Linked DNA regions of Danio rerio. The protein of the gene in region 3 interacts with the protein of the main gene of each other region in a pairwise test. Links are inferred from orthologs where the notes say so. Each region holds a gene or a part of one and is shown on either strand. Other genes may lie near its edges. The genes, in order: tsga10, tfcp2, cdc73, hsf2bp and alas1.

Region 1 (6,170 bases), on a different chromosome or scaffold from region 3:
CTGAACATTTTTCAGCAGCACATTGGCTCAGTGGTTAACACTGACGCCTCAAAGCAAGAAGGTTGCTGGTTCGAGTCCCGGCTGGGCCAGTGGGCATATCTGTGTGGAGTTTGCATGTTCTTCCCGTGTTTACATGGGTTTCCTCTGGCTGCTCTGGTTTCCCCCTAAATCCAAAGACATGCGCTAGGTGAATTAAAGAAGTTAAATTGGCCGTAGTGCATATGTGTAAATGCGAGAATGTATGGGTGTTTCCCAGTACTGGGTTACAGCTGGAAGGGCATACACTGTGTAAAACACATGCTGGATAAGTTGGCGGTTCATTCCCATTTGGTAACCCTTGATCAATGAAGGAAGTGAGTAATAACAGTGTGACGTCATGTCTGCAGAGCTTTAAGAGACACCATATCAGGCAAAGAAAGAGAGCTGGATGTCTTGAAAAGGAAGTTGTCAGACTCTGAGAAAGAGATGGACACGCTGATGAAAGTCAAAGATGAAGCGTCACAAGAAAACGGTCAGCTGAGAGACGATCTTGACAGAGCACATCAGGAAAATCAGGTGCTCTACACCAAACAATTGTACGCAACGGCATTCTATTAAATAAGATACCAAGACCTGAAGTTTACTTTCATTTCAGACTCTAAAGTTCAAGCTGGATGAAGCGAATCTGGAAATAGAGGACTTGCAGAAAAAAGTACAAGATCACATCGCAGACATCTCACGTACTGAAGATCTGCTGTCTGCCAAGGTGATGAGTCTCTTAAAGGAACAGATCACCCAAAAATGTCAATTTATGGGTAATAAAAAATCATGGTAATAAAAAAAAATTCTATAAAAGACAATAGTTACAGGTTTCCAACATTTTTCAAAATATTTTCTCTTGTGTTCTAAAGAAAAAAAAACTTTGTGAAGTGCTTTAAATTGTGCATTTGTTACTCAACGTTTGACATAATCTCAACTAAAAGATGAAAAAGGGGCGGGACATAGAGTAGCTCCTCCTGTTTAAAAACAAGACAGCCAATGGTGTTTCAATTTATCACAGCCCTATCAGTGAGAGTGGTTGAGATCAAACACATCAAATGAAAAGCAAAGTGACTTGAAGGGGCGGAGCATGTCAGATACTAGAAAGCATTTGATTGGTCAAGATTTGATGAAAAATTCAAGTATGAGATGATGTCAAATACATTGTTGAACCATTAAGGCGGAAGTGACAAACTGCAAGCTTTGGATGTTTAGGTCTTCTAAACACGAAGTTTGTCACTGTTTTGGAGCCCACTAACTAATAGATATCCATAAATCTAACAGACTGTCGCTAACATCTAAAAAAAACTTTGTTTTAATTTCATGGGACTTTTAAATTGGTTTGGAACAAGGATAAAATTTGGGAAAAAATGTTTGTTATCATGATCAAAATAGCAATCTTGTTTGCTGTCCTCCAGGAGCGTGAGTGTAGAGAACTGCAAGAGTCTCGAAGGAAAGAGTCTATTCTGGTGGAAAGCTGGGAGGACCAGGCCAGACGCGCTGAAACCACAGTCATCGAACTCCGTCTTGAGCTTCACAATGCTAATTCGGAGATACTTCGACTCAAAGAAAGAGCAGACAGTCTGGAGAACAGACTCCAACAGGTCAGCTGGTTAAAGTGATGTCGCTGGTTTGAGTCCTCTCTGAGCCATTTCTGTGCGGAGTTTGCATGTTCTCCTCATGTTCACGTGGGTTTCCTCCAGGTGCCCCGGTTTCCCCCTCAGTCCAAAGACATGCGATGTAGGTGAACAGAAGAAACTAAATTGGCCGTAGTGTATGAGTGTGTGTAAATGAGTGAGTGTGTATGGGTGTTTCCCAGTTCTGGAAGGGCATCTGCTGCATAAAACATATGCTGGATCAGTTGGTGGTTCATTCCGCTGTGGTGACTCCTGAAATAGAGACTAAAGCTGAAGAAAACCAATGAATGATAAATGCTTTAGGCCAAACAATCACAATAAGGCTAAAGTCTGTCAAGCACAACCCATGTTGCCAGCGCTCCTCAGTCTAGTGCTGTTAAGTTAAGACAGTCTGTCATTAAGTGTGTTTTGTCGATGTTTGTCCAGGCACTGAGTGCGGAGAGAAGCTGCACTAGTCAGCTGTCTCAGTTAAACCGAAAGATGATTCACATGGAGGAGGATCTGTGTCAGGCGCGGGCTGAGCACACGCAGGCACAGGCCGACCTGGAAAAAACACGAGAGCTCTGTGTCAAACTGGATGCCAGCAAAGACGCTGTGAGTGTTCAGGCGGGATTAAATGAGTCTGCCAGGAAAATGCTCTTTTTTAATATTACCTGCTTGTCAATTCAACAACTGCAACACGAGCAGAACTGGAAAACACATTATTCACTTTCAACACATCCACTGCTATTAGACTTTAGCTGAGTGCTATATATATTTAATAAGACCTTGCTTTTACCTACAATTTAAAATTTTCCCTTTAGATATGATGGCCCGTGTGATGGCCAACATTCTAATTCATGCTAGAAACATGCTATCAACATGCAAATTCTCAGTAACAACAAGCTGATTTCTATGAACAATCTCCTTGCATATTAGAACATGCTAGCCACTTGCAAATTATTGCTAGCAACATCATAATTCATGTTAAACATGCTAACTACATGTTAATGTGTTATAAAACATGCTAGAAACATGTCAATTCTCAGTAACAGCAGGCTGATTTATATTGCCAATATTGTAACACACTAAAGCATTCTAAGAACATGCTAATTCTTGTTAGCAACATCCTAATTAATGTTAAAACATGCTAATTCATGTTAGAAATTATGTTAAAAACATGCCATGCAGCATGCAAATTATCAGTAACAGCAAGCTCATTTCTATCAACAATGTTCTTGCATATTAGAACACGCTAGCAACTTGCAAATTAATGGTATCAACATGCTAATTCATGTTAAAACTTGCTAACTACATGTTAATTTGTTATAAAACATAACCTAATTCATGTTAAAAACTTGTTTAATGACATTCTAATTTGTTATAAAACATGCTAGAAACATGCTATCAATATGTCAATTCTCTGTAACAGCAAGCTGATTCATATTGCCAATATTGTAACACACTAGAGCATTCTAACAACATGCTAATTCTTGTAGCAAAGTCCTAATTAATGTTAAAAGGATGCCAATTCATGTCATAAAACATGTTAGGAACATGCTAGCAAGATGCAAATTCTCAGTAACAGCAAGCTGATTCCTATGAACAATGTTCTTACATACTAGAACATGCTAGCAACTTTCAAATGATTGCTAGCAACATCCTAATTAATGGTTAAAACATGCTTACTACGAGTTAATTCATTCTAGAAACATGTTAATTAATTAAAATTAAAATGCTAATTCAAGCAGTGTTGTCAAACCAACACCAAAGTTTGACAACAAACATTTTACAAACCTAATTTAAAGTTTATTGTCTTAAAGATTTTTCATACACTAAACTGAAATGCAAACATTTCCTCACTTTTGTGAATGTGCTTGTGCAGGTGCAGCGTGAGCTGGAATCCTGCTGCTCTGAGATCGAGCTGTTACAGAAGCAGCTGACCAGTGAACGTCTGTCTGTACAGACTCTGGAGAGCCTGCTGGTGTCCACAAGAGAAAAAGAGCTACAGAGGCAACTCACCTCTCAGGAAAGACAGACTGAAATAGAAATCCTTAAGGACAAACTTAGCATGGCTGACAGTAAAGCGTGAGTTTAGTACACACACTTATGCTTTTTCCCTTGTTTTATTTCATCCTTTCAACTACTGTTTTTTTAACGTCTTTAGGAATTCTCAGAGCAGAGAAATGGCTCAGCTGAAGACACGATCATGCCAGCTGGAGGCAGATCTGGAGATGACCAAGAGACATCTGTCTACTGAACGCTTCGAAAGGTGAGACACATAAAGAGATAAAGTTTGTGTGAAATCAAAATGTACGATGTATTACTTTGCTAGATCACATTATTATTCTTTAGGTGAATAATTAATCCGCACAAGTTAATCGACTGGAAAAAAAGATAGTTTTGTCGTGGAAAAAAGTGAAGAGCAGAGGGGGTGTTATCGCTGCCGAAAGTGGAGAGGGTTGAAGAGCCGCGAAAGACAGTGAAGAGCGGGTGCCTGTGAGGAGGGGGATCGGTAAAATGAGGTGCCGGATCCGGATCCGGCTTGCTCCGGCACAAATTAAGCTCTGCTCACAATACTTTTTTAAAACTAATGCCTAAGTGCCACGTCATGCATTTTTAGAAGCAAAGACGTGTCCGGTGTGAATGAGCCTCTACTGATTGTCCTTACTACAGGAGAATGATGCGTACAAAGAAAGCCCCGCCCACCCTTTCCAATCCGCTTGTTAAGTGTGACGTCATGCGAAGCGGCTTCCTGGTCCAAGCGCAGTATTCAACTGAATAGGGAGACTCATGAAATGGTAATAATAAACGTTTACAAAACGATTAAATACTTTCGTAAATCACGATCGCAGTATATATGTCCATGCCTAATATCCGATGGCCAGAAAGTGGTTAATTTTTTTAGAAATTGTTAAATTTTTGGTATTTGTTATGCAGCAAGCCCAGAGATTGTTGTGTACACTGTGACTTTATATAAAATCAACTTTAATGTGTGATAGGAAAAAAACGTGATCATAAACGAATGATTTCTCCACTCAAATGAATGGCGGCTTGGACCCGGAAACAATATTACATACGTCACAAACATGTCACCACTTAACAAGTGGATATTTGCTGCATCCGAAACTGCATACTTCCATACTATATAGTACGCTAAAATCAGTATGCGAGCCAAGTACACAGCAAAATATGGGGACCCAAAACAACTCTATGGGTGTTAATTTCAACACTTTGAAAGTGTCTCATGGGGTCCACTCAAAACAAAGTTAAATCAACACTTTCAAAAGGGTTGGCACATTGACACCGAAGTAAGGGTTAATTTTAACTCTGGGCAGAGTTAAAAAATGTAACTATATTTAACACCGCCTGGTGTAATATATTGTTATTTTATTCAACTCTCTTGAGTGTAAATATGGTAAAAAGGTCAAATAGACTGTAAATTACAAAATAAAAAAACATTTTATTTGAAAACATTCACCACTTCAACAATTCATTCAGTTTTTAAAATGCAACAATGTCAAATATACTTTAAATGTTTTATTAGTACAGACAGTATCAACAAAATATGTATGACCAGTGCTCAAAAAGGCTGTTTCAGTCCTTTGGTCCAAACTTGATGTGTTATCAGAGCAATTTGAAAGTTCAATATATCGTCACTCATAGTTTACTTCTGAACTCATAGTTTTCTTCTGAAATTACATTTTAAACAACTTGGCTTGTAAATCTTTCACTTCTGGTGTTTCCTTGGTCCTCCATATTAAACACAGCAGTTTAAATGAAGGTATAAATGCTGTAAACTTGTGTAAAAACAAACTGGAGCTATGAAATTTCATCAAGCATGTCCTGTGAATGAAGTGCTTCCCAGCCACAGGATGACCTTTTTATCCATGACGATGTAGCAGCTGCTGATCGCTCGTCTGGTGGTTCCTGATGCACGGATATAGGGTGATGCTCATCTAAGAACTCTTCAAGACTCCAGCATGACTAAGAAAAATGTTTGAAAACAAATTGCAATCAAATTCTATGATATATTTAAAAGAACATTTAAAGTAAATAAAACATTCAAGAAATCTAAACTCACCTTTTGAAAATCTTCATGATGATCCACAACTTGACTCTCCCAGCTGGTTGAGGTGACAGGATATGGAAAAGTAGAAAAAACACATACATCACTGTTGGATCTCCAAAAACAATTAGGTTAACCACTATGACTAGAACTGGAAAAACAGGCAGCTGTCTGTCCAGAATCCTGAATTTAACACAACACTTGGAGCAAAATTTAGAGGAGCTTAAAATCTTTTATATAATTTAGTGATGCTGACTTCCCCAAAATATTGGCCACAGTGTAAAAAATATTCATAAACTTCATAAACAACAGTTTTCTGTAAGCGTGTGCGTGCGTGCGTGCGTGTGTGTGCGTGCGTGTTTCTTTACCAGATTCAACTTGTTAGGCCCTTTCAGGTCCAGTATTGAGGCCACCTTTACTGGAGTCTAGCAGATGTTTCAGGTCCAAATATAACCTAAAATATTAGG
Region 2 (6,170 bases), on a different chromosome or scaffold from region 3:
TGTCAAGGTCTGACAGTTCCCCATATATCTCTAGTTTTTAGTACTGATACTGATTCCTCCTTTATTGATAATGGCCATTGGCCAGCAAATCCTGCATTGTAGGGTAGGTTGCTGTAGCAGTCATCAGTAAAATGGCAGGGAATACAGCACAGTTTTACAGTCTTAAAGGGGACGTTTAGCCAGAAATCAAATTTATTTTAAATAATCAAAACTCAAAAGAGTAATAGTTTACTAATTTTTCCAAACACGTAGGGCACTATTTGTTACTTCCAACAATAAAAGAAAATATCAGGGTCCTCAAGGGTCAGAATTTCTTGAATGTGATCGAATTAAAAAAAGTCTATTTCAAACATTGAAAGTCAGGGAAATGTTATATATTTTTGTCCAAGACATTTAATTTAATATCAGAGATTTTTGTTTGTCACTTTAAATTTTTGTTTCAGTGTTCGAAATATAAACTTTTCTTTACCATGTTTTATCACAAAAGTGGTTATGGTTAGACTGCATTTCAGTTTCCCTTTGGGATGAATGAAGTATCTATTTGCTTCAAAGACTTTGTGTTAAAAAGTAGACAGACTTAACTTAAATATGGGAGAGGTAGGGAGCACTTCGAAACCATGTAAACAGTAAGTACCTTAGATTTAGTTTAACTCTGTTTTTATTGAAAGATATAAGTCAGAGAGCCACAGCATCAAATACATAGAATAATTAGACATCAACTACTCCAATGTAGCAGCAGAACACAATTTGCTCGCATTTTCTTTCTCTCTGAATAAAGTAATACAATTAAATATTCATGCTTTAAGGAAAATAATTTAAAAAACACGCAAAACAAATAACAAATATATATATACTGTATATATAATCGTAATTAGAAAGAAAAAATAACATTATAGATAAAAGTAACACCTATTAGGCCACACAAGAATACAGAAAATATATAAATACAAATATGCAAAGGGTACAGCAGTGGCAAATAAATAAATAAAACACATTCTCCATTTATATCCAGACCAGGAGCAGGGAAAATAGGTCAGTTACAGTATATACATGCATACATACACACACACACATACATACATATTTATTTATTTGTTTTTTTTTATTTTTTAGGTGTAAGAGGAAAGGTTGCCAAACAGTGTCAAATTTGTTTCTGTAATACAGCAAACTGTATATTTAATATTTTTTTATTTGCATAGTCTGCATCAGGTCATGCATCCAATGTACATACCTGGGTGGGGAAGGATTTTTCCAGTTCAGTGTTATAAGCCTTTTAGCAATTATTAAACAGAAGGCGAGTGCATTTGATTGTGTAGATGACAAGGAAACATTTGTAGGGTTAAGTCCAAATAATGCTACTATGGGGCAAGGCTTAATATCTAAAATAAAGCATTCAGAAATTGATTAAAAATTGATGCCCACAAAGTCCTTAATGCTGGACAAGTACCTTGGATTTGATTCATTTTTATCCATTGTTTGTGAAGTGACATTCAAGCTAAAATCATTTTTAAAAAAATAGAAAGCACAACAGAGGCCTGTTTTTTCCATTCATAACCAAAAAAACATTATGTTTGGCTTAGTGTGTGAATTCTGAAATATTTTGAGTAACATTTACTTTCATTTTGTGAACAACTTTTCAGTTGTCATTCATTGTAATTCATTATTTTGACATTTGATGTAGGTCCATTGTATAAGCACAGAGTTCACCATGCGTAAACATGGAGGAGAGAAGGGAGTGCCATTCCGTATTCAAATCGACACTTTCAAGGAGAACGAGGCCGGGGAGTACACCGAACATCTGCACTCCGCCAGCTGCCAAATCAAAGTCTTTAAGGTGGGTTGAGGCCTGTGCTGCTGATAAACATTTACAATGTGATATCTGTGCTCTGTTTCAATGCACGTCTTGTTTCGCCAGTGCAGCGCCATTTGTATGTACTTCTTAGAAAGCGAGATGTTTGTTTTGTATGTAGCCTAAAGGTGCAGACAGAAAGCAGAAAACAGACCGCGAAAAAATGGAGAAACGAGCACCACAGGAAAAGGAGAAATACCAGCCTTCATATGAAACCACCATTCTCACTGAGGTTGGAACTAATTTGTTATGATCATTTTAGATTTATTTAGTAAATATATAAAAATAAATATTATTACAATATTTAATGCAGTTATTTTTAGTAATACATCATATTATTATTATTAATGTATCTCCTCCATTGGAATAATATTATTTAAAAATATAAATTAAGTCAATTACAGTTTGAATGAAATAAATTGTGGTATTTTTTTTAATACCTGATGATATAAAGTGTGTTGTTTTTATCCAGTGCTCTCCATGGCCCGAGGCTACATATGTAAACAACTCGCCATCTCCTGGATTTAACAGTACCCACAACAGCTTTCCTGTTACCGAAGGGTAGGAAACAATGATCATCATCATCTAAATATTACTTAATGCCTGAATATTTCTTTTGTTAATAAATCTTTTTACTTCATTGCTACAATAGTAAGCAAAGCAACATATTGAATAAGAAAAAAAGAGTAGTTCTAGATAGGGCTGTGCAATGTATCCTTTCAGCATCGATACAGTGCATCTGGAAAGTGTTCATAGTGCTTCACTTTTTCCACATTTTTTTATGTTACAGGCTTACAACCTTATTTTAAAATGGATTAAATTAATTTATTTCCTCAATTCTACACACAATAGCCCATAATGAAAATGTGAAATAAAGATTTTTTGAAATTATTGCAAATTTATAAAAAAATAAAAAAAACCTGAAAAATCACATATACATCAGTATTCACGGCCTTTGCTGTGAAGTTCTAAATTGAGCTCAGGTACATTCTGTTTCCACTGACCATTCTTAAGATGTTTCAGCAGCTTAATTGGAGTTCACCTGTGGTAAATTCAGTTGATTGGACATGATTTGAAAAGGCATACACCTGTCTCTATAAGGTCCCAGGGTTGACAGTGCATGTCAAAGCACAAACCAAGCATGAAGACAAAGGAATTGTCTGTAGACCTCCGAGACAGGATTGTCTCAAGGCACAAGGCTAAGAGAGGTTACAGAAAAACCTTACAGAAGGACAACCATCTGTGCAGCAATCCACCAATCAGGCCTGTATGGTAGAGTGGTCAGACGGAAGCCACTCCACGCCTGGAATTTGCCAAAAGGCATCTGAAGGACTCTCAGACCATAAGAAAGAAAATTCTCTGGTCTGATGAGACAAAAATGAACTCTTTGGAGTGAATGCCAGGGGTTATGTTGGAGAAAACCAGACACCGCTCATCACCAGGCTAATACCATCCCTACAGTGAAGCATGGTGGTGGCAGCATCATGCAGTGGGGATGTTTTTTAGCAGCAGGAACTGGAAGACTAATCAGGATGGTAGGAAAGATGAATGCAGCAATGTACAGAGACATCCTGAATTGAAACCTGCTTCAGAGTGCTTTGGACATCAAACCGGGGTGACGGTTCATCTTCTGGCAGGACAATGAACCAACGCACACTGCTAAAATATCTATGGAGTGGCTTTACAACAACTCTGTGAATGTCCTTGAGTGGCCCAGCCAGAGTCCAGACCTAAATCCATTTAAAGATCTCTGGAGAGATCTGAAAATGGCTGTACACCATCACTTTCTATTTAACCTGATAGAGCTTGAGAGGTACTGCAAAGAAGAATGGACAAAAATTCCCAAAGACAGTGTGCCAAGCTTGTGGCAGCATATTCAAAAAGACTTGAGGCTGTAATTGCTGCCAAATGTGCATCAACAAAGTATTGAGCAAAGGCTGAAAATACTTATGTACATGTGATTTTCCAGGTCTTTTTATTTTTAATAAGTTTGCAACACTTTCACATTGTCATTATGGGGTATTGTGTGTAGAATGAATGTTCCTAAAAACCCTAAACTACTCCTTAATACAACTGGTTTGTAAATAGTGCGATACTTAATTTAGTAATAAAAACAAATCATTAACTAAGTATGAAATTGCACATTTTAAATGTTTGTAAGTCAAGAATAGAGCATTTGTAGCTGCAGTTATAAACCGCTTACTAACGTCCATTAATGTGGAGTTAAAGGCTGATTTATACATCTGCGTCAAACGTCGGCGTATGCTACGGCGCTGATGCATAGCCCTTCACCGTGGCCATCGCCGTCACTGACGTGCACCTCTCAAAAAATTTAACTACACGTCGCAACGACGCGTAGCGTAAGCTCTGTGATTGGTCGGCTTGGTAGCGCTGACGAGTCTGGGCGGGACCGAGAGCCGCGCGAATTGCGCGAGCGATTGCTTACAAGTGTGGAGTCCCGTGAAGGAGCTCCGGATGGAAAGTTTTGTTTTGTGTTTACCTCATAGTTAAAGTTGTTGCACGTCCGCCGGTTCCTGCCTCAAAATGAGCGAGTTTGAGCCACTTGTACATCCCGGAAGTGTTCAGGAAAAGCAAAAAAGCAGAGAAGAAACTCGACACAGAGGAACATTTACACCTCACTGCCAACTAGCGTTTCGGAAGTGTTAATGCAGACCGACAGAGACAGCGCGCAGAAGTATAAATGCACAGCCACGCGCGTTGCCTGCGCCGTGGGTTACGCCGGTCACCTGACGCAGAAGTATAAATCAGGCTTAATGCTTAACAAATAATGAATTCACTAGATGCTAATGCTTAGTATATGATTCATAGTGTGCAGTTATTATAAAGTGTTACCCAATATTTCACTTGGTCCAAGATTTTTTTTTATATTTGAACTAGAAACTAGACAAAACAAAGTAAGAAAAGCAATTTTTGCTTCGTGGTTATTCGATTTCTGTAACCGAAAACTCTTAGACTCCCTAGAAAACCATCAGATAGAGCTATTGTGTGAAGCTGCATTAATAACGTATTTATCGCAGAAAAATAAAATACCGTAATATCCGATCTTTCCAGTATCATGCAGCCCTGGTTATAGATCGTTTTATAGACTATGAAAACATTTATCTTTTTTGGAGCAACATGCAATAATTAAATGTTTATGTATGGCCATAATGACTCATAGTTTTGTCTTGCAGAAATGGTTCACCCAGTCACCAGCCAGAGCCTGTCGCACAGTTAGCGGATGTGAGTGTATGTGTATTTTTTTTCTTCCTCTCTCATATCTGATATCCACTGCTCACAGTGGCATAAAATAACAATCATTTAACAAATGTATGTACATTGAGAAATGAAAGGCAAACTGCCTAGGACTTTAACCAAAATATAGATGCATCCCAGTGTTCCCTTATGTTTCTTTTCCTACATTTCTGCATTCTACATGCTATCCTTTAATTTAAATATTATGTTTGTGCTTCTTATCTGTGTTCCATTTGCATTTGTGTTTGATTTAGTTCATATTTAATAATACTGGCTTCACTCGTTAAGTAGTTGAGCTGTTTTGGGAATGAAATGGTAATTAGGTGTAGTGCTGTGTGTGTATTTGTGTATAAGGTATGCTCCATGCTTCCATCTACATTAATAATATCAGGACAACTACAGTAGTTCATCAAAAACCCTTTGTTCCATTCATAATATGGCAGCTGCTATGATTAATTCTGTAGAATGCTTTTTTGGTTGCTTTGCATGCTCATTAGCACATTTCAAAGCATGTAGTGCCCTTTGTAGCTTTTGTTAGAACTAATAGTATATAATACATAGGGCAAAATGGGTGGTATGTTAAGTATTAGGACATATATTAATTTTGTTATATTTTTCTTTCTTTTTTGTTTTGTTATCTGCATGCCACAGATATACCATGGCATTGCATTTTCTATCGTTACACAGTGTGTATGTATATATATATATATATATATATATATATATATATGTATATGTAAATATATATATATATATATATATATATATATATATATATGTATATGTAAATATATATATATATATATATATATATATATCACACTACACTGCCCAAGTCCTTAAATATTTAGTTAAATATTATTCTACTGTTTCAAAGGTTTGGGTTTTCATGTGTTTTTAAAAGAATAATAATTATATTTATTCAGAAACGATGTATCAATGGAATTAAATGCGACCAATAACGTTATAAAAGATTTCTATTTGAAATAAATGCTGTTCTTTTCAACTTTTTGGCAAAACAACACATCACAGTTTACGCTAAGCTAATAAACTTCACAGCAGCTTT
Region 3 (6,170 bases):
GGTGTATGAGGTGCAACTTCCCTAAAATGCATGATAGTTTCGAAGACTGTCATGAATACATGTTTTTACTTGTTACAGTGTTCAGATGGCAGAGAGACGTCACAAGTGGAAAAACAGTCGTCAGTGTTGCGTTTATAAATGTGCTGCAACAAAGGTTTTGTTTTCATTTCCCCTCATGAAAGCGCAGCTGGACTCACGTGTGGATTACAATGCATGCGACGGAAATATGTTTGTAAGAAACATTTTTACCCAAGAGCTTTTCGTATCTGAAAATGGTGAAATCCAGAGTTGCCACTCATCTTCGTGTTGATTATCCTGTCTCTACAGATTTGGTAAGTGTATGATCAGTGTTCTTTTTTTTACTGTTTGTTTATATAGAGGCAAAGTTAGTTAGTCTACAGTACTCTTACAGTATTTAAAAAATTACCATTTAGTTATTAAGTTTACAACACATTATTTTCACTACATATTATAGATGAAGTATGCACTCCCGAGTGTAATCATGTAAACACCTTAATCAAACTATTACCGTTGTGTAGAATTTTTGCTGAAAATTGTGACAAAATACACTACACAATAAGCTTTCTGATGCTACCTACCGAGTGCATCTAAGTTACCGAGAAATGAGTTTTTTTTTCTCTCATACAACATGCGGTATCAAACATTCCATTAAAACTACACTCTTCCAGCAGTTTCTTTGCATGCAATATCGCGTTTGTCATGGGGCATGCATGATTTGTTCCTGAATGAAAGTGAACATGCCAAACTGCAGTTATGGTCCACAAATTAATAATTTAGCAAATAATTCAATTACTGATGTCCATGTAAATGCGGTCACTATCTTTCTCCCCTGCGCCTGTGTGTTTGTTTTGGCTCTGTGAAAATGGCCCTTTAATAATTAAGGAAACCATTTAGTAGAGGGAGTAATTCTCATTATAACTAGTAGCTTATTACATGCCTGCCTATAATAAAAGGGGACCTATTATTTAGCTCCTTTTTACAAAATGTAAAAAAAAACAAATAACAAAAAAAAGCCTCTGATATCCCAGTGTGTACATGAAGTTTCAGAATACCCAAACATTTTTTTTTAACTCTTTGCAACTGCCCTTTAAGGATTCGATCCAAATTGTGCTGTTTTGTTGACTGTTGCATTAAATGCAAATAGGACTGTGCCTTAAGATTATTCTAGATTACACAGAATGACACCCCTAATATAGTTCAACATCCCTAATCCTACGAAATACCTAAACCCAACTACTCCCTAACTATTAACAAGCAGCCAATTAGAAATTTGAGGTCAAATTCATAGGTAATGGCTTGTTATTAGTGAGAATTGTACATTAAAACAGTGTGACCATGATGAAACAGGTCAGCTACATTCTTTCACATTTCACAACTACTAAATCACTGCAGCTTGACAAACCACATTTTCCAAAGAGACATAACAGGTGGAGTGCATCTGCTTTTATTTGAAATGAATGCCATTCCTTTTCTAAGAATGGGTGTGTGTGTGCGTGTGATATCTATCATCTACGAAAAAATCATTTATTAGTATTAATGATTTGTAAGATATCATTACATTGAGATATCTGTTGGCAGCCAGAAAAATACACAAAAATTTGTTTATTGTTATGGAAGCGCTAAAATTTCATAACAAAAAAACATTTCACATTTCATCCTGACCTGTCAAGTGTTTCCCAGAAGCGCAGGAAGACGGGCCGGTCCAAGTGTCGTTTGTGGTGGCTCAGCTCCAGCACAGTCACGTCCCACTTCTGCACGTTTGGGTCCATCCGTGCCTCATCGTACTTCAGGTGAAAGGCTCGAACTAAAAACGCATAAACATGGCATGAAGCTCACTATATCCTCTGTATAATCTTTGTTGTGTAATGTTCAGACCAAACTCACTTTTGGCAAATATGTCCACTGGGGATCCATCGGGCAGTAGCCACGGCCAGCCCTTGAACTGCCAGGCAGGACCCTGAACGAAGACCGCCACAACACGATCCCTGTGTACAAACAACAACAGTCTTAAACTGACTGATTGTGGCCTGTGCTCGTATGTACCATTAACCCTTAAAGACTGAAACAGCCGCCTGTGGCTAAAAATAAGTACTGTTCTTAAATGTTTAATAACTTTTAATCCGCTGATCCGATCAGTACAGTTTAAAGACTGGCATAAAGAAGAGAGCTTTCCATCGCTGTAAAACATTACATTGACGGACCTTCGGAGGCTCCGAAATCAGTGTGGTTACGTCATCACATTTTGACACCTCTGATTTCACAAAGGAACGCTCGGACAAACCAGACATGATGCATTGATACATTGTCCCTCCTCCATGCCCAGATTGGTTCAAACTCGCTCTCTCTCAACCAATAAGCATAGGTTTCGCTTTGTGGACCAGCAATCAGCTATTAGAACAACCCGGAATGAGAAATAGGCTGTACATTTACGCACGGCTAAATAATCGCAAAAAAAAAAAAAAAAGTTTTGCATTAAATAATTCTCATACTAAGTACTTTTGCATGCACAACAGCACTAAAACATGACAAAACAGTGACACAGCAAAGACGAAGTGATGGTCTTGCAGTTTTCAAAGGACGCAAATGGCAGTGCGACTGTTTGTCTGCAACGCAAAAGTTGAGAGACAGCAGGGTCAACACCATATTCATGCTGGCACATAAAACCTAAGGATGGTCCATATTGAATCTAGTTTAGTTATGTAACTATGTGTAGTATAGTCAATATTTATATAAAAAAAATTTTACTGAGGATTTGCACCATGTTTATTTGGACTTTGACGCATTATTTCTTGTTTTCTTATTTTTTATTTGTTCATTGTAAGTGGTGTTGTTTATGGGAACTGAAAATATATTATTTGAAAAAAGTCAAACTTGCTTCAGTGTTCTGTTATTTTGTAACAATCTTTCTGTTTTTAGTTCATTTCCAGAACTTTTGGGCAAATACATTGTCAGTAAATAAATGCACTGAAAAAAGCCTTAGAATAACATTGAAATAAATTGCTATAACTTGCTCAAGGAAAGGTGGATGTAGACAAAATTTATTTTGGAAGTATAAAACATCATAGCGTGTATTTCTAAAAGAAAGAAAAAAAAAACTTCACGAGGTTTTGTTTGTAATAACTAGAAAATGCCACTTTTTTAAAAACTATTTAAAAAAAATATTTTCTGTCTGTTCATATGTTTTTGGACCAAAAAATGTTTTAGACTGAACCTTTAAATGATACAGATTGAAGCTTCAGGTTCTCCTGTTTAAAATAATATATAACACTTGAGGCTGACTGCTAAAATAACAATAAAACTGCTTTTAAAAAATAATAATAATATAGGCCCATTAGGTGCCCACAAAATACGTCTAGGTCTTTAAGGGTTAAACAGATTTAAAGAGATAGTTCTCCCATAACTTGTTTCAAACCTGTTTGAGTTTTTTTCTTTTGTTAAACACAAAAGATGATGTTTAGAAAAATTCCAATAACCTGTAACAAACCATTGACTTCCATAGTATTTGTTTTTGCTTTTTGGAACCACTTGATATAGTGAAAACAGCGAGTTATTTTTCATTTGAGTGAACTATCCCTTTAAACTGTCCATTGCACGACAGTCAACTTAAAAAAAAAAAAGACCTATAATTACTGATTTTGAGCATATTTATTTATACATTTTATAAATATCTTTATTTAACTCCTGGAGGGCCACAGCTCTGAAGAGTTTAGCTCCAACCACCTCCAACACCTGCTTAATAGTCTCCAGTAGTTTTGGAGTGTTTCTCAATCACATTCCAAGAGGACCATCAACACTTTTGGATGTCGCATTTGTCTATCACACCCATTACAGGTCTTTTTATCTCTGCTGATGATAAGTTTAGAAAGACCCCCTTAAAGAGAAAACCCTATAATTACTAATTTTGAGCATATTAATTTATTAATTTCAATGCCAAAAAAATAACACAACTGAAATCACTCTGGCAGTCGCAATCATCTGATCTCATATTGAAGCAAGAAATTGCGAGGACATATGATGATGTGTGCAGGTGGTGTAGTGCTGTCCCAATACTTATGGGTAAATTTTGAAGCCCTTCCTCTTAAGCCTTGGTTGTAAGGGCCATGGGGATGGAGTAGGGGTAGGGGTACAAAAATAGAATTGGGATTGGGCCTTAAAGTGAACAATATGGACGAGTATAATTTGGCCCTTAAACCTCAGGATCTCATTAGTCTGTACTAATACACAGTTAGTAGTTGTGCCTCTGCACTGTTGTGAAAAAAAACAGTTCCTTGGTTCCATCCATCAAAGTCAGAAATTCTAGAGCAGGGGGGTGCCCAAACTTTTTTTATATGAAGGACCAAAAACCAAATATCACTGAGAGCCATGGGCAGAAGGTATTTATACCAAGCTATGTTACATTAAAGTTGCCATGGGTAATTTCCTTATTTATTTCTTAATATTTCAAAATAAATAGAAAACGGTACTAGTTTTTCACAATTTTTTTATGACAACTTGTATTAACTAATGCAGTTTAACATTTAAAATGATAACTTATTGCAATAAAAACAAACAATCACATTTATAACTCAGTGGAGTTCAATGCTGAATACACTGGTCAAGCAGAATCTGCCTTTGACTTGATTTGCATAAGTCTCAGCAAAGCATTGTTGGGTGACGATATATACATTTAGCCAAAATCGGATTAATTTACACCGTTTAATTTAAAAAAATAGCTTTTAACAATAAAGCAAACAAACAAAGGGTTCAATTAAATTTGAATTGACAATCTGGAAAGTAGGTAGTGCTGTCACCTCACAGCAAAAAAGTCACTGGCTTGCGGCCATCCAAGAATCAAATTTGAGACAAATGTTGTAAAGTAAAAACAAACACTGGAGAGCTGACTTACAGTAAAAACTAACATTGTACTCAAAACAAGGCAAAACAGGATTTGTTATGATAAGTGATAAACGCGTGATCTAGAGCTGCACAATTAATCGAAAAAATTTTCGATCTCGATTAGACTCCTAGACAATCTTAATTCAGCATTTCTACGATTTTGTTAATCATATTTTCAAGTTCAGGAGAGAAGCAAAGGAGGCTGCAAAAGTCTTTTCATTGTTTCGCGCACATTGCTCAGGAACATGGACACCTCTAAATGATGTTAAAATAGTCAAAAACAGTATTTATAAAGTATAATTCACCTAAAATTGTCATTTTTGTCTACATATTATGCTGTTTTCGTGGCCGGGAAATCACGTGACGTAGCTGCTGACTGTGCGGACGCGCACCCTACTTAATGATATACGCGCATACCTCTACTTTAGTAAACAGAACCTGCATATGCTGTGCGTAACAGGTAATACAGTTGTAAATAATATACAGTTTGTGGCACAGAGTGATTGTTTGAGAGCCACGCGCGAAGTATGAACAGCACTTAGCAGTGAAAATGAAACTGAAAGCGTGCACTTCATTTAAATAATCATCTCGCATTTTAGAGTTATGATTGCGACAAGTATTTGATATGTTTTTTTCCTTTCATAGTGAACAGAGTTGTGCATGAAAATAAATGTTTAACAGTGTCAGTATAACTACTCAAGCCTATATAATGTTGATTTTACCATAGAATAAAATGGTCTAATAATGTTGTCAATGACAAATTGCAAGCATAAATCTCAAACATAATTCAAACATCAGAATTATTATAAGTAGAATAGAATTATTTATAGAAGCCAGGAGGCCTACACATAATATTAATATTGTTGTTTTACCATATGTTTGAGAAAAAACAAAATCTCATATTAAGCTTTATTTTACATCTACAAAATGGTGGGAAAATTGTAATCTTTATATTAAGCAAAAAATAAAAAATAAATAAATAAATCGCAGTTCCCATTTTAGCCAGAATCGTGCAGCTCTAGAGTGCTGAATTGCAGAGCTTAAGCAAACAGAATCATTGTGATCAGATGCTATCTTAACTGTGGTTCTTTCACTGCGGTCTTATTTTTATTGTGCATTTTTGTTGTTTGGCGCATATTATCATATTCATCTAAGCAGATTAGGCTGTGTGGGGATGTTCAATGACAGGATTCTGCTCTAAAATAAACTTTTTTTACACCCAAACAAAGGACAAAAAAAAAAGAACAGTGCCATGAGTACTGATGAACAATGTC
Region 4 (6,170 bases), on a different chromosome or scaffold from region 3:
TGAACAGATGGAGAATAAAGGCTCGTTCTGCACTTTATTTTGGACAACACAAGAGTCAGCTTCTCTCCCATGGTGCATGACAACACTGTAAATTCCGTGCGACTGCCACAGGAGGGCGTATTCCAACAGTCTTGTCCAAATGTTGTGTGCAGTGGAAAGGCGGCTTCAGACATCACACACAAGGCCTCAAAACACACACACATACACACACTACCACATAGTCTTATGTTGTAAGAAAACCAAAACTGGTAAGTTACAGTATGTTGCTTGTAGTTCTTCCTCAGAAAAAAATTGACAAAAGAAGCAACCAATGTATATACATTGGCACATTTTTTATTTATGTATGTTACAGTACAACACACACACACACATACAATTGTTCCACCTAAGCTTTCTCTTCAATCTGGGTGAGGCCAAAGACTCTCATCCACCTTACAGGCTATATTGACCCTAGACAGGGAGTGGGAATAAAATCCTCTGCATGCCTGATCCACCCCTGGCATGAATCTACTGATTTGTCTTTTCAGCCTTTTTCCATGGCCTGGAGGAGGTGAACATGGACATAAGGTTCTGTCATACACTTTCTACTGCCATGGCGAAAAAACTCCCCTTTTTAGGTTTAGAAAGTGAGAGTATGCAGGCAGTAAGATGTCCGAAAACGTTGGGTTATTAAGGAACCAGTCATGAACCAGAGCAGCACGGAAAAAGCTGATGCTATTGCAAACAGTAATGTAGTGAGGCTGTGCTGGTTTTCTGTAATCCAGTTGGAACATATGCTCTCTTAGACCATCAACGAAAGCAAGGAGGAGCAGAGTGTTTTAGGGTCCTAGAATGGCATGGTGGTAGTCCAATCTGATGTCTTTGACTTCTTCTCCTCCTCTTCCACCACCACTGTGGTGTCGTTGACTTCTTCTTCGTTCTCCTCCCCCAACACCACTTGGGTGTCCTTGACCTCTTCTTCTACTTCTCTTCCTCCTCTCCTTCTTCTCTTCTACCGCAACCACTCTGGTGTTTTTGACCTCTTCTTCTACTTCCCTTCCTACTCTTCCTCTTCTTCTTTTTCTTCCTCCTCGTCTTCTTCTTCTCCTGTTCCACCTCCACTGGTGTCTTTGGCTGTTTCTCAATACAAGTACCCAAAGTTCGGACTTGCGTCCTTAAAAGTTCAGACTTGGAAAAGCGAAGTACAGAGGACGCGAAGACCCATGCTGGGTACTTCTTCAAATGGAACAGCAGTGTACTTTATAACATCACTTACCTCTCCATGGATTCATCGGTTTCACTGTGCATTAAAAATAAAATGATTCCATTAATATTATAAATGTAGATTTTTGATTTAAGAAAATGTAAACATAAATCACTGTAAATGTGAATTTAATTTTCTAAAGATAGCACAAGACGTGCTATATTTAGAAATACACTGCAGATTTGAGTTTAAAGCAACTATATTCTCGCCTGAAAAACTCTTAAAACTTAAATTTGTAACACAACAAACGAGCATTTTAAAACTGTGCGGGTTTTCTCCCCACCATTAGCATTTGCTGGTTACGCTGCAATGCATTCAGGGACACCTGTGCTTTGTAAGTTCCCACAAGTCACCTCTCGAAGCATCCTTGGAAAAAGGGGCAGAGCTAGCACACATCCGGGATTTTTATCTGTACTTGGCAAAATGTCAACTTTAAACTGGAATAGTACTTCGGTGACGTTTGATGACATTTCACGAGGACACAAGGTCGCAAGTACAGACAAGAATGCATATTGAGATACAGCCGATGATCTCTTTTTCTTCTTCTACTCCTCCTCTTCCACCACCACTCTGACCTTTTCTTCTTCTCTTCTTCCTCTACCACCACCACTCTGGTGCTTTTGACCTCTTCTTCTTCTTCCTCCTCTTTTCTTTCTCCTTTTCCACCACCACTCTGGGGTCCTTGCCCTCTTCGCTTTCCTTCTCTCCTTCTGCTCTTCTGCCACCACTCTGGTGTCTTTGACTTCTTATTTTTCGTCTTCTCTTTTCTCCCTCGTCCTCCTCTTCTTCTTCTCTTTAGCCACCACTGGTGTCTTTTATCTCTTCTTCTCTTACTTCTCCTTTTCCAGCACCACTCTGATGTCCTTGATCTCCTCTTCTTCGTCTTTTCCCCCCTCTCCTTCGTTTTCTTCTTCCTCTTCTTTTTCTTCTTCCTTCTCCTTTTCTCCTCTTGTGCCACCACTCTAATGTCTTTGACTTCTTCTTTGTCCTCCTCCTTCATCACCACTTATGTTTCCTTTACCTCTTCTTCTTCTTCCCTCCTCCTCTCCTTCTTATTCTCTTTTTCCTCAACCACTCTGGTGTCTTTTACCTCTTTTTCTTATTCCTCTTTTTTTTCTCCTATTCCACCACTCGGGTGTCTCTGACCTCTTCTTCTCTTCTTCCTCTTCTGCCATCACTTTGGTGTTTTTGACCTCTTCTTCTTCCTCCTCCTCATTTTCTTCTCTTTCTCATTTCCACTACCACTCTGGTGTCCTTGACCTCTTCTCTTCCTTCTCCTCCACCACCACTCTGGCATCCTTGACCTTTTTTTGTTCTTGTTCTTTTTCCTCTCTCTTCTCCTCTTTCTCCACCTCTCTGGTGTCTTTGACCTCTTCTACTTTTTTTCCTTCTTCTTCTTTGTGTGCTAACTAAGCTCAATCTGATACATTTGTGTGTAGTTTTGCAGTAACAGTTCACAAAATACAGCTTGTGTCAAAGAAGTTTTTTCAAAAAGGGCATTATGGTTTTGAAATTTTGGTTTAAAAAGTATTCAAAAAATTTTGTACTTAGGTATTGCAAGTAGTTTATTTAAAAATCTACACGTGCCCCAAATTGTACAAAGAGATTATGCGTGGGATTACGTGTACGCAGTGTTTCATACATCTGATTTTTTTACTGCGTACACACAGTGACAGCTTTTTACGTATGCAATGTTTTAGTATGAATTCAACGCAAGTCTTCGTACATGAGGCCCCTGGTCCTCTCTCGTCTTCCACTGCTGTCTCTCCTCCTTTTAAATATTTGTTTGTGTGTGTGTGTGTGTATGTACTTACTTTGTACACTTATTTTGATATGTCTGAGAAAATTAATATAAGCACCTCAGCTCGCAAAATGTAGTTGGTGTATTTTTCATGTAAAAATTTTCAAAATGTTCAGCTTTATATGTTACAATTTAATATTAAATAAATCACATAATCAGTAGCTCAAAGTCGCTGATTAGGAAAGAGGACAAAAATATGTTTTATCCCTTGATCTAGCATTGTCTGGTAAGATAGAACACAGTTTCGGGTTTGATGTTGTGGCTACAGTAGTCTATGATGCTCTCTAGCCTCTTGAGATAAAACGAAATGTGTTTTCTTCCTCTCACAGACCCTGATCCAGAAGTGTGCCTGCAGTCATTGAGGCTCCTTCAGTCTTTAATACTGGAAAGAGAAATCATGCCTGGCATGGCTACTGACTTTCGACGCTCTTTCCCCCTCAGTCGTATCAACCATCTAGTTTCAAGCTGCCATCCCACTCTCAAACAAACAGCCCAGGAGACACTGGAAGATCTGGTTAGTTTTACAAACTCCCAAACTACATTCACAGAGAAGGAGCAGTGTTTGGATTAAAAAGGGCAGTCTAGGTTTAATTTAGACTCTATGGGTCTAGATTAGATTACTTGTCCATGCCATGACAGTTGCCCATGTTCCTGGTGTAATCAACCAAAGAAACCTAATAAGGGATTTTCAACAAAACTGAAGCAATTTTAAGCTTCTTTTGTTGACAAATAACCAGTTTTCAATCTACTTATATTGTATAAAGTCTTTTCCATGTTGGTACATTATCTTTCAGGTTATACACAAAAAGTTTTTTTTTTCTTTAATCTGATAATCAGATAAGTTCATCTGTACATCTTAAAAAACTTTACTTTAAATTGCATAATACTGTTGTGTATATAATATTGGTGAAATTAGGTAATTCTTTCGAAATAAAGCTAAGGTCATAAAACATTTTATGAGACATGAACATAGGGTCTTTGATAGAGAAGACAAAAAATTATACCATTGATTTTTGATAAGATACTTTTTTACTATGGTGAAAGTAGGTATCTCTAGTCCCCTTGTCAGTACAGATTTTATCACTACAAATAGAGGCTATATTTGTAAAAATGTTCATACTTGCGCAAAAATGAATAAATAATTAAAACAACCAAACTACTGCTAATCAAAGAGCCCTTATTGTGCATTATAAATGGTCGTATTTTGGTTTTGGGGGTTTCCAACAACATGCTGATATGCATACAATGCCAAAAAACACTTTTATTTTTACAAAATATTCATTTTTGTTTACCTAATTAACCCAAAGACTTCCATATGATTTATTTTGCAATTCATTTTTTCTCAACTCCTTTGCATGACACTAATCTGTGGTGATTGTTCTGATGATCCAGTTGGTTCAGTGCAAGGAGAAATTCATTAAATCAATGCAGTAAACACCAGCATACACTGTAAAAAATTCTTATCTACTATTTACTTAAAAATCATGTAGTTTTCAAGACTTGATTTTTTTCAGCAAAACCTACTTGAATAAATCAGGTGAAAATTTGTTAATTTTTTTGAGTGATAGATGATGATTTTAATATTATTAGTCAAAAGTTCTTTTCTAATTTAAGCTAATCAACCACAATTTACTCATATTTATTCATCAAAATTACTCAATCATAAAATGAAAAATATATAATTTATATTGAAATACATACACATTGCATTTTTTTGGTTGCATTGACAACAAAACGGTTTGTTATGTTAAACAAATCTATTAAGAATTTACTGAAGTTTTAAGTTCTGAAAAAAGTGATTTATCCACACTGTTAGCCCTTACCAGGCTTTTATACAGTATAATACTGGCAACTCTGTTGCCAGCTACTCACTGTAATGGTTTGGTTACAGTGAGTAACAGGCACCAGTGTTGACAGTGAATTAATGTAATTAAACCATAACAGTGACTAACTGGCAACACTGTAACTTACTAATTACTGTAACTTAACCATTAGAGTGAGTAGCTGGCAACAGTGCTTTCAGTTACTGTAATAGAGCAGTAGCAGCAACTAACTGGAAACTGCTTACAGTTACTTACTGTACTATAGTGTTACAACTCACAGCATCATACTGCATACACATTAATGGTATGTCATTTAGAGTTATTGTAGTGTTACTATAAATCAGTATTCTGAAGTGGTATTAAATTAGAAAGCATATAAATTCTTCAGACACATGTATTTTATTGTTTTGACAGCAAACACACCTGATCAAACTAATTGAGGCTTATTAGAAGTCTACAGGTAATGTTGAAGCAGAGTGAGAACTAAACTCTGCTGGCTGCAGCCCTCCAGGAACGGAGTTTGACAACATTTAAGCAACTGCCTACATTTATCACATATCTAATAAAAAAAAACAATATAAATTAATTAATTAACAAACTCCATCCAAAGCAAAAAAATGTAAAATTGTTCAGCACTAATCCTCATGTTATTCCAAACCTGTAGTAATAATAAAAAAATAAACAAATAACCTGATTTATCAATTTATTACTTGACTTCTGATATACAAGGCTACAATAATATAAGGTTAAAGACAAAGTTTTTTTAAGTTTCAAATAATTGTAAAAAAATTTGCATATCAAAATTATACACACACATACTTTAAAATAATTATAAAAACAAAACTCAAATAAATTCGGCAACACAGAGAGTCTAAAGTATCCAATCTTATTATTATTTACTTAAAGAGCCCCTATTATACATGAATTAGGGTAATATTTTGGTTGTAAGGGTCTCTAACAACAGTTTAATATGCATGCAAGGTCAAAAAACGCTTGCATGGTCTTATAATCTGCATTTATTTTTAGCTAATTATCCCAGCGACTCCCATTTGAATCGTTCAGTGATTCATTTGTTCCCAAACCCCTCCTTAGCACGAAGCTTATCTGCATTGATTGGCCTGATGACAGCCTACTGCGATTGGTTAACACTGACAACCTTCAGCACGAGACAGAGTGAAATGTCCAGCAGCTAATCAACAATATAGAAGTAGTCAGAGTGCAAACACGCTTTATAGTGTAAGGCGTGAATTTTGGCTGCCAGTGGGTGAATGTAAATACAGACGATGGACTTGAAAATACAGAC
Region 5 (6,739 bases), on a different chromosome or scaffold from region 3:
AGCTAAAAACATGTATTCAGAAGACTTAGACCTTTCCAACGATATATAGCCTGTCATGATTAGATTAGGAGTTCATTGCAGTATAGTGCAGTACACTGAAGCATCCTGCTATCGGGCAGTGACAGTTCAGGGGTTAAAGCAGCTCCTCAAACCTTTCTGCACGGTGCGAACTTCAGAAACATCCTCCTGGAGAGCCATGCTGGCCTGCCGGACCACACCGCTGTTCTTCTGGCTCATCTCTGCTGCCAGAAACGGGCATTTAGAGGCGGAGGCATGCCCGGCTGCAGGAGCAGGGTGACCAGCGGGCACTGCAGGAGCATCACTGGCTTCTGAATAAAAAATAAATAAATAAAAAAAAAAAAGAGGAGATTCATCAGCATAAATGAGTTTACCCTATTTTGAAATGGAATATTTTATACATCTCTTAAAGAATATCGACAATATATATTCATAGATTTGAACAAAACTTAACATATTGATTAAAGTCATATTTTAGTCATTGAACATCTTTAAAAATATCAAGATAATGCATTTAAATGTGCGCTAAATTTAGCCAAAATGTAATGTAATGTATTTTTTATTTAGTGCCATGTCAGCAACCAAGGCTATCTTCATGGCAGGAATCTTTCAACAATAAATATACAATTTAAAAATCAACAAACAAAATAAAACATAAATTAAATAAGATTTTTTGTGTTAATACATGATAAAAATTCTAAAATCTTTTCGGGTGTTACTTTGTCAAAAATGTCCTTAAAAGAGTTAATTTCATAAAAAGTCCTTCTGGAATCAGTAAAAGCAGGACAGTCCAGTAAAATATGCTTTACAGTAAGATGAGTTTTGCAATACAAACACTGAGTAGGGTTTTCACCTTGGAGCAAAAAACCATGTGTTATTCTCGTATGCCCAATACGACATCTGGTAAAAACTACTTGATCAAATCGATTCTTAAAATGTCTTAAAATTCTGTGTGAAACTTCAGGTTGGATTTCATGTAAAATTTAGCCAAAAAAAGAACATATCAATTTGGGATACTAATTTTTAGGCTGTTTTTTTGGCTCCAGATTTGGCTTCAGCACAGACTAATTCAATGTATCTGCATAAATATTTTACTGTAAAGCATTCTGTAGACAAGATCAGTTTAAATGCGAGATTTGTGAGGGGTGAACGCATGTATGACACAGTCACAGGTCTTTAAAACACATCCAAATAAAACTCTTTCACTGTTAAACTCCCCAAATCACATGCTCTGAACGGTGCTTTCTGAATAATTATAATCCCAACATTGGAGATTCTGTGACGTGGCTATTGCAGACTCGTACATCACGATATCGATGCTGAAACCATATATTGCGCAGCCTTATCATGCAGTTTTATATTTAAATAATGACGTTTCTACAATTTTTCCCTTATAACAGCACGTGACTGACCATGTCCGGCCGCAGAGGAGTCTTCCACCTTCTGGAAGCTGGCGCTAGAGGAGCAGAGCGGGCGCAGCAGGGGTCTGGAGGCCAGATCCATCATCACAGGACACTTCACCGCATACGCCACCAGAGACTTCCTGGCTTGCTGGAGGAACGTCTGCGGGACGCGGGACAGGAATGGGCAGCGAATGATGGCGTCCATAGCTGACGGTTCAGTGAGGTCTGGAAAACACAGAACAGAGAGCAGGTTAATTACAACTGACTGATTACACAGTGCACTGTCATGGTGATTAACAGCCGGCCGGTGTGAAGGGTTACTGTCACTTTCACATGACTGGAACTGAGCCACAACCTCAGTACTGAGAGTTCAAAAACACACACACACACACACACACACACACACACACACACACACACACACACACACACACACACACACACACACACACACACACACACACACACACACACACACACACACACACACACACAAACAAACAAACAAACAAACAAACACACACAAACACACACAAACAAACAAACACACACAAACAAACAAACACACACAAACAAACACACACACACACACACGTTCGTATATCTCGGTACAGCTGTAGTGATGTTTGTTCTGTACAGTGTGTGTGTATTCTCTCGTCTCCCTCTAAACTCAACGCTCACAGCACACACTCTGCACTTCTACATCTCTAAACACTTCATTCTGTCTGATTTATGAGCATATTTACTTAATTTGGGGCCCTACGGTGACAATTCCCTCAGAGTCTGTGTGCATTCTAGGCATGAGATGATAACCGGTTACAAGGTTTACTGCGGTCTGGAAAAGTCTCGGTATTAAAACCGCACAAATGTTTTTTATACCGTTTCTAAGGTATATGTAGAGTTTTTTTATGTGTTGTAAGGAAATCTGTTTTGAAGATTTTTGAAGATAAAAAAGATTGTAGAAGTCAATGGTTTATTTTAATTATGTAGCCTGACATGTTTACGGTTCCAAAATAATATAAATGTTTCCTAAAATGTAATATATTGTGTTAATTGGGGAAAAAAGTTGTTGTTTTTGACTAAGACAAAATAAAAATAAATGATTATACAGCAGTAAATCACATTACCATTGAGGGAATATAAATTTATATTCCATAGTAATGCAAAGTGTCAGTCTCACAGCACGGCTGTGTCACTTGTTTTCTCTTTTCGGTCAACTGGTCAGGCGGTTTCTGTCTCCAGAACATGATGAGATCAGACCTGAAAAGGCAGTTTACCCTGCCGACAACAACACTTCATTTGCATGCTCGGTTTAGCCATCTCCCCTCATCCTAAGAACACATTATAGACAAAACAGCTTTATCTCAAATCAGACTTGTGATAGAACTTCCAGATTGCAGACCTCCAGTAGGCTCCTGCAGACACTGGGACTTCTTGAAGACGCTGTATGAATGCAGATTAACCAACACGTCTAATGTTGTTATGAAGTCATATTTACATGCCATTTCACACCCAATATGTAAATATGTAAAGCAGTGTAATAAACAACACGTTAAACTAATGTGCGAATATAAAACATACTTTACCGCCTCAACATTAGACACACACACACACACACACACAGTACACTAATACTCCTTAAAGCTGTGTGTGAGCACTCAAACTCAAATCACAGTAAGCCCATTCCACACAGATTTACAGCTGCTCTCAGCTCAGCCCTCATCATCATCATCATCATCATCATCGATACTCATTGAGGTCAAGTTGGTTTTATATTCTCACATGTATTCAGTGGTTCCCTCCCTATATTGTTTACCATGGTACTTTGAATGTTAGGTCAAAATTGGATGTAAGGATCAGACTGTAAACAATGCTGTACTCTGATAGCCATTGGCTGATTATATGATTTCACCATTTAGAATGAGCAAAGAACACTTTTCTGATATTAAATTATTAAAGAGAATGTCCAAATGTGTGAATTTAAAACCAACTTTCCCTCAATCCCATACTCATACGAGTTAAAACAGCAGAAACTGTTTTTATATTCGCACATTCAGACTTTCTCCTTCACAATCTCATTTCAGAAAAGTATTATCAAATTCTAAATAGGGGAATCATATCAGCAGTCAATGACCATCAAAGTGCATTCCAGCATTATTCACGGTCAATTAAACAGTGCTAATGTTGTTTTAGAATTCATATTTAAATGCTCTTTCAGACTCGATATTCAAAATAGAGTGGTAAACAATATAGAGAGCATTAAATGACCCAATGTGTGAAAATAAAACCAACTTGACCTCATTAATTCCTGATGAAGTCAGAGAACAGCGCCGACAGTGACTCACCGATACTGTCAGCTCACCTGCCGGGAAACAGCTGACTTACACACGGAAACTAAACCTCACGTTACACTAACAGTTCACTACTCTGCTACATTACAAATCAATATAGTACAGTACAGTACAGTAATTTAACCTACCGGCTAATGTTAAGAGTTATGATTTCTGCGTCACGTGACGTAACGTTAGCAAACCTGACAGGAACCTGAGGCGTTTTAGCTAAATTTGCTAAATGTACATTAAAAACGACCATCGTATCCTCTACTGAACTCTCTCTACCTTTAATAAGATATAAAACATAAATAAATGCAGATGTACAGTTAATCTGTGGAGTCTTCAGAGGTCAACAGTTAGAAAGCCGCATGATTAAACGCGCCGCGACCTCTAATGAACGCGCCTCACCTCAGTTTCCTCCGAGATCGCGGGTGTGTTCTGTTGGTATCGCTGTCCGGTGGTCGGTTGTTAGTGTTATGCCGTCTCTGGCCTGTTTTCTCAGCCGTAATGAGCGATGTGCGTCGTTATCCTGCACTGAGGACGAACGAGAGGGCGAGCGGCGCTCCGGGATTATATCGCACCAGCGGCCGCAGATCTCGCGATCTTTACGTCAGCAGCCGCGAGGACACGCCTCTCCTTCCGCGCAAACTATGGCGACACCGGTTGTTGCTAGAAGAGATACAGCTGCGGCGAGAAATGAAGTTAACGAGAATTGTATTTTATAAACGTCTACCTTAACCCTCACATTAATGTAAAAACAGTAATTACACCGAGACGAATCATATTGTTTTTTAAACTACCCATTAAATAGTATTTTATTAACGCCTAACCCAACCCTCACGTAAACAGTAGTATACTGAGTTCGTATTGTTTATTAAATGACCCATTAATTGTATTTACAAACTTCTACACCTACCCCAGCCCTCACAGTAATGTAAAATATGAATTATTGTTGTACAGGGTGGGTCATAAAAAGTATGAGTAACCGCAGCTGTATCCCTTCTAGACTGCACCGCCTCAAACCCTGAGCACACGAGGCGGATAATTCCCAGATTGATCAACACGTGTGTTGTGATCAGTATGATACATGTGTCCTCGTGTTTGTTTATGTCATTAATATGAGGAAACTACACCAGAAAGTCAAAGGAAGTGTATAGACGCGCCCTGCTACAGGAATAGCCCAGACATAACTCAGAGTAAAAACAACAGGACTGTTTCCTTAAAGTTTTCAGGGTCAGTTCACACACAAATGTAAATCCCACCATCATTTTCTCATCCTCCACCTCATCAAACCTGTTTATGTCTTCTGTTCAACACAAAGGAAGATATTCTGAAGAATGCTGGAAGATATGTCTGTTCTATTGGAGTCAGCTTTTCCAGCATTATTATATTTGTGTTCAACAGAAGAAAGAAATCATTAAAGTTTACAGCCACTAATAAAGAAACAGCGAAGAACTATTGAGGAAATGTTCGTTTTCAGTTGGTGAACTACTCTGTCCCATTATAAATGAAGCTATAAACTAGATGAACACACTTCTCTTACATGCACTTTGTTGATTTAGAGATTTTTTATAAGTTATAAATATGTAAAATATGTAAATATATAAGCAGGTTTAATAGTTATAATATGTTTAAAAGTGAGATAAAACTGAGGCACATGAAATTCACTTTTAAGTTTTTGTTTTGAATTTGTGTCTGTAAATAAAACCATAATAAACTATTATTGCACAAGTTATACACTATATGCTCATTACACATATATAATTATACACATTTTGCACTGAGCCATAGACATTATTTGCCTGATTAAAAGCTATATTATAGTTCTGTTCCACAATAAATGTTTTAATAAATATTTTTTGTTGGTTTATTTGCAAATTTTCCATCTCTTTGCAGTATTTTCTAAATTATAAAGAGTGATGCAAAAGAGACATATGGAAAATCAGCTGTAAAATAATCAAACAGGAATTTTTGACTTCCTTCATTGTTCAGATGTTTGCACATTTTGACTTATTTGCAGATGTAAACAACATTTTAGAAATGAGTTGTAATGCAAAAACCACTATGGTAATAGTTCATTTATTAGCAGTAGTAGCAGTAATAATAACAATTATTATTATTTATTTTTTACCTACAGTGTATTGTCTAAAGCAGTGGTTCTCAAACTGTGGTACATGTACACTACTGGTACAGGGGCTTATATCTAGTGGTACGTGGAGGAATCACTGAGTAATGAATGGAAAATTGAATCCTATTTTAATCATTTGATGTGTACGATAATGTTCACATATCGTGTCATTTCTACATGCAAGTTTGTTATTTATAATGAAGACGCAAGCAGCATGATGCACTTTCGTATTCCAGGTGTGCCCAGTTAAAACATCTTTTCAGAATGCCGCACCGCGAGTCACGTAACAAGAACTGACCGATCAGCTTCATATTTTGTATGGAATATACATTATATATTATATATATAACATATAATATTGTCAGCTTGAGATCCTCTGAGAAAAACCGGTTCCCCTGTCTACATACAAGTTAATATTTAGATTTTCAAAAGTTTTACAAATATGTCACATGTACATGCAACGTATATGTCATAATTTATTAAAAATTGTATTAACATGAATATGACTCTGTCTCGTTTTTGAACTGTGCAGTGCTGGAGCTGCTTGATTTGGCCTACTACACTGCTTTATTTCTATACTGGTCATCATGGTGGTACCTGGAGAGACTATTGTTTTCTGAGGTGGTATTTGGTGAAAAAAGTTTGAGCACCACTGCTCTAAAGTCTATTAAATACTGTAGTGTTTTCAAACCACACGATAGTAAAGTGTATTATATTGTAGTGTCTCTTTGTTAATCAATGCTCCAGCATAGTGTTTACTAGAGTGATAATAAATACTGTAGTGTACTTTAGTGTTTACTACAGTCAACTGTGGTGTAGTGCAGTATAATATACCCTATAGTTGTAGAAAGCTACAG

Evidence for each region.
Region 1: the proteins of cdc73 (region 3) and tsga10 interact in binary tests that used the Homo sapiens proteins (3 or more experiments, as listed by UniProt). The two-hybrid records come from large-scale screens. The link is inferred for Danio rerio from reciprocal best matches to the Homo sapiens genes CDC73 and TSGA10.
Region 2: the proteins of cdc73 (region 3) and tfcp2 interact in binary tests that used the Homo sapiens proteins (3 or more experiments, as listed by UniProt). The two-hybrid records come from large-scale screens. The link is inferred for Danio rerio from reciprocal best matches to the Homo sapiens genes CDC73 and TFCP2.
Region 4: the proteins of cdc73 (region 3) and hsf2bp interact in binary tests that used the Homo sapiens proteins (3 or more experiments, as listed by UniProt). The link is inferred for Danio rerio from reciprocal best matches to the Homo sapiens genes CDC73 and HSF2BP.
Region 5: the proteins of cdc73 (region 3) and alas1 interact in a two-hybrid assay, tested with the Homo sapiens proteins (3 studies listed by BioGRID and IntAct). The two-hybrid records come from large-scale screens. The link is inferred for Danio rerio from reciprocal best matches to the Homo sapiens genes CDC73 and ALAS1.

Annotation. Positions count from the first base shown.
Region 1 is NC_133176.1:52,978,231-52,984,400, forward strand, and holds part of tsga10 (testis-specific gene 10 protein), read left to right. Parts: intron 1-386; coding exon 387-555; intron 556-634; coding exon 635-745; intron 746-1,436; coding exon 1,437-1,622; intron 1,623-2,081; coding exon 2,082-2,249; intron 2,250-3,519; coding exon 3,520-3,722; intron 3,723-3,801; coding exon 3,802-3,906; intron 3,907-5,077; exon of another isoform or gene 5,078-5,621; intron 5,622-5,718; exon of another isoform or gene 5,719-5,761; intron 5,762-6,071; exon of another isoform or gene 6,072-6,157; intron 6,158-6,170. UniProt on the Homo sapiens protein: Plays a role in spermatogenesis. When overexpressed, prevents nuclear localization of HIF1A.
Region 2 is NC_133198.1:36,627,497-36,633,666, reverse strand, and holds part of tfcp2 (alpha-globin transcription factor CP2), read left to right. Parts: intron 1-1,681; coding exon 1,682-1,834; intron 1,835-1,970; coding exon 1,971-2,081; intron 2,082-2,321; coding exon 2,322-2,410; intron 2,411-5,043; coding exon 5,044-5,098; intron 5,099-6,170.
Region 3 is NC_133177.1:12,422,507-12,428,676, reverse strand, and holds part of cdc73 (parafibromin), read right to left. Parts: intron 2,007-6,170; coding exon 1,906-2,006; intron 1,826-1,905; coding exon 1,684-1,825; coding exon of another isoform or gene 1,674-1,683; exon of another isoform or gene 1,450-1,673; intron 1-1,449.
Region 4 is NC_133176.1:32,688,755-32,694,924, reverse strand, and holds part of hsf2bp (heat shock factor 2-binding protein), read left to right. Parts: intron 1-3,373; coding exon 3,374-3,558; coding exon of another isoform or gene 3,559-3,615; exon of another isoform or gene 3,616-4,018; intron 4,019-6,170. UniProt on the Homo sapiens protein: Meiotic recombination factor component of recombination bridges involved in meiotic double-strand break repair.
Region 5 is NC_133186.1:318,747-325,485, forward strand, and holds the start of alas1 (5-aminolevulinate synthase, non-specific, mitochondrial), read right to left. Parts: upstream 4,301-6,739; 5' UTR 4,163-4,300; intron 1,647-4,162; 5' UTR 1,627-1,646; coding exon of another isoform or gene 1,431-1,626; intron 330-1,430; coding exon of another isoform or gene 153-329; intron 1-152.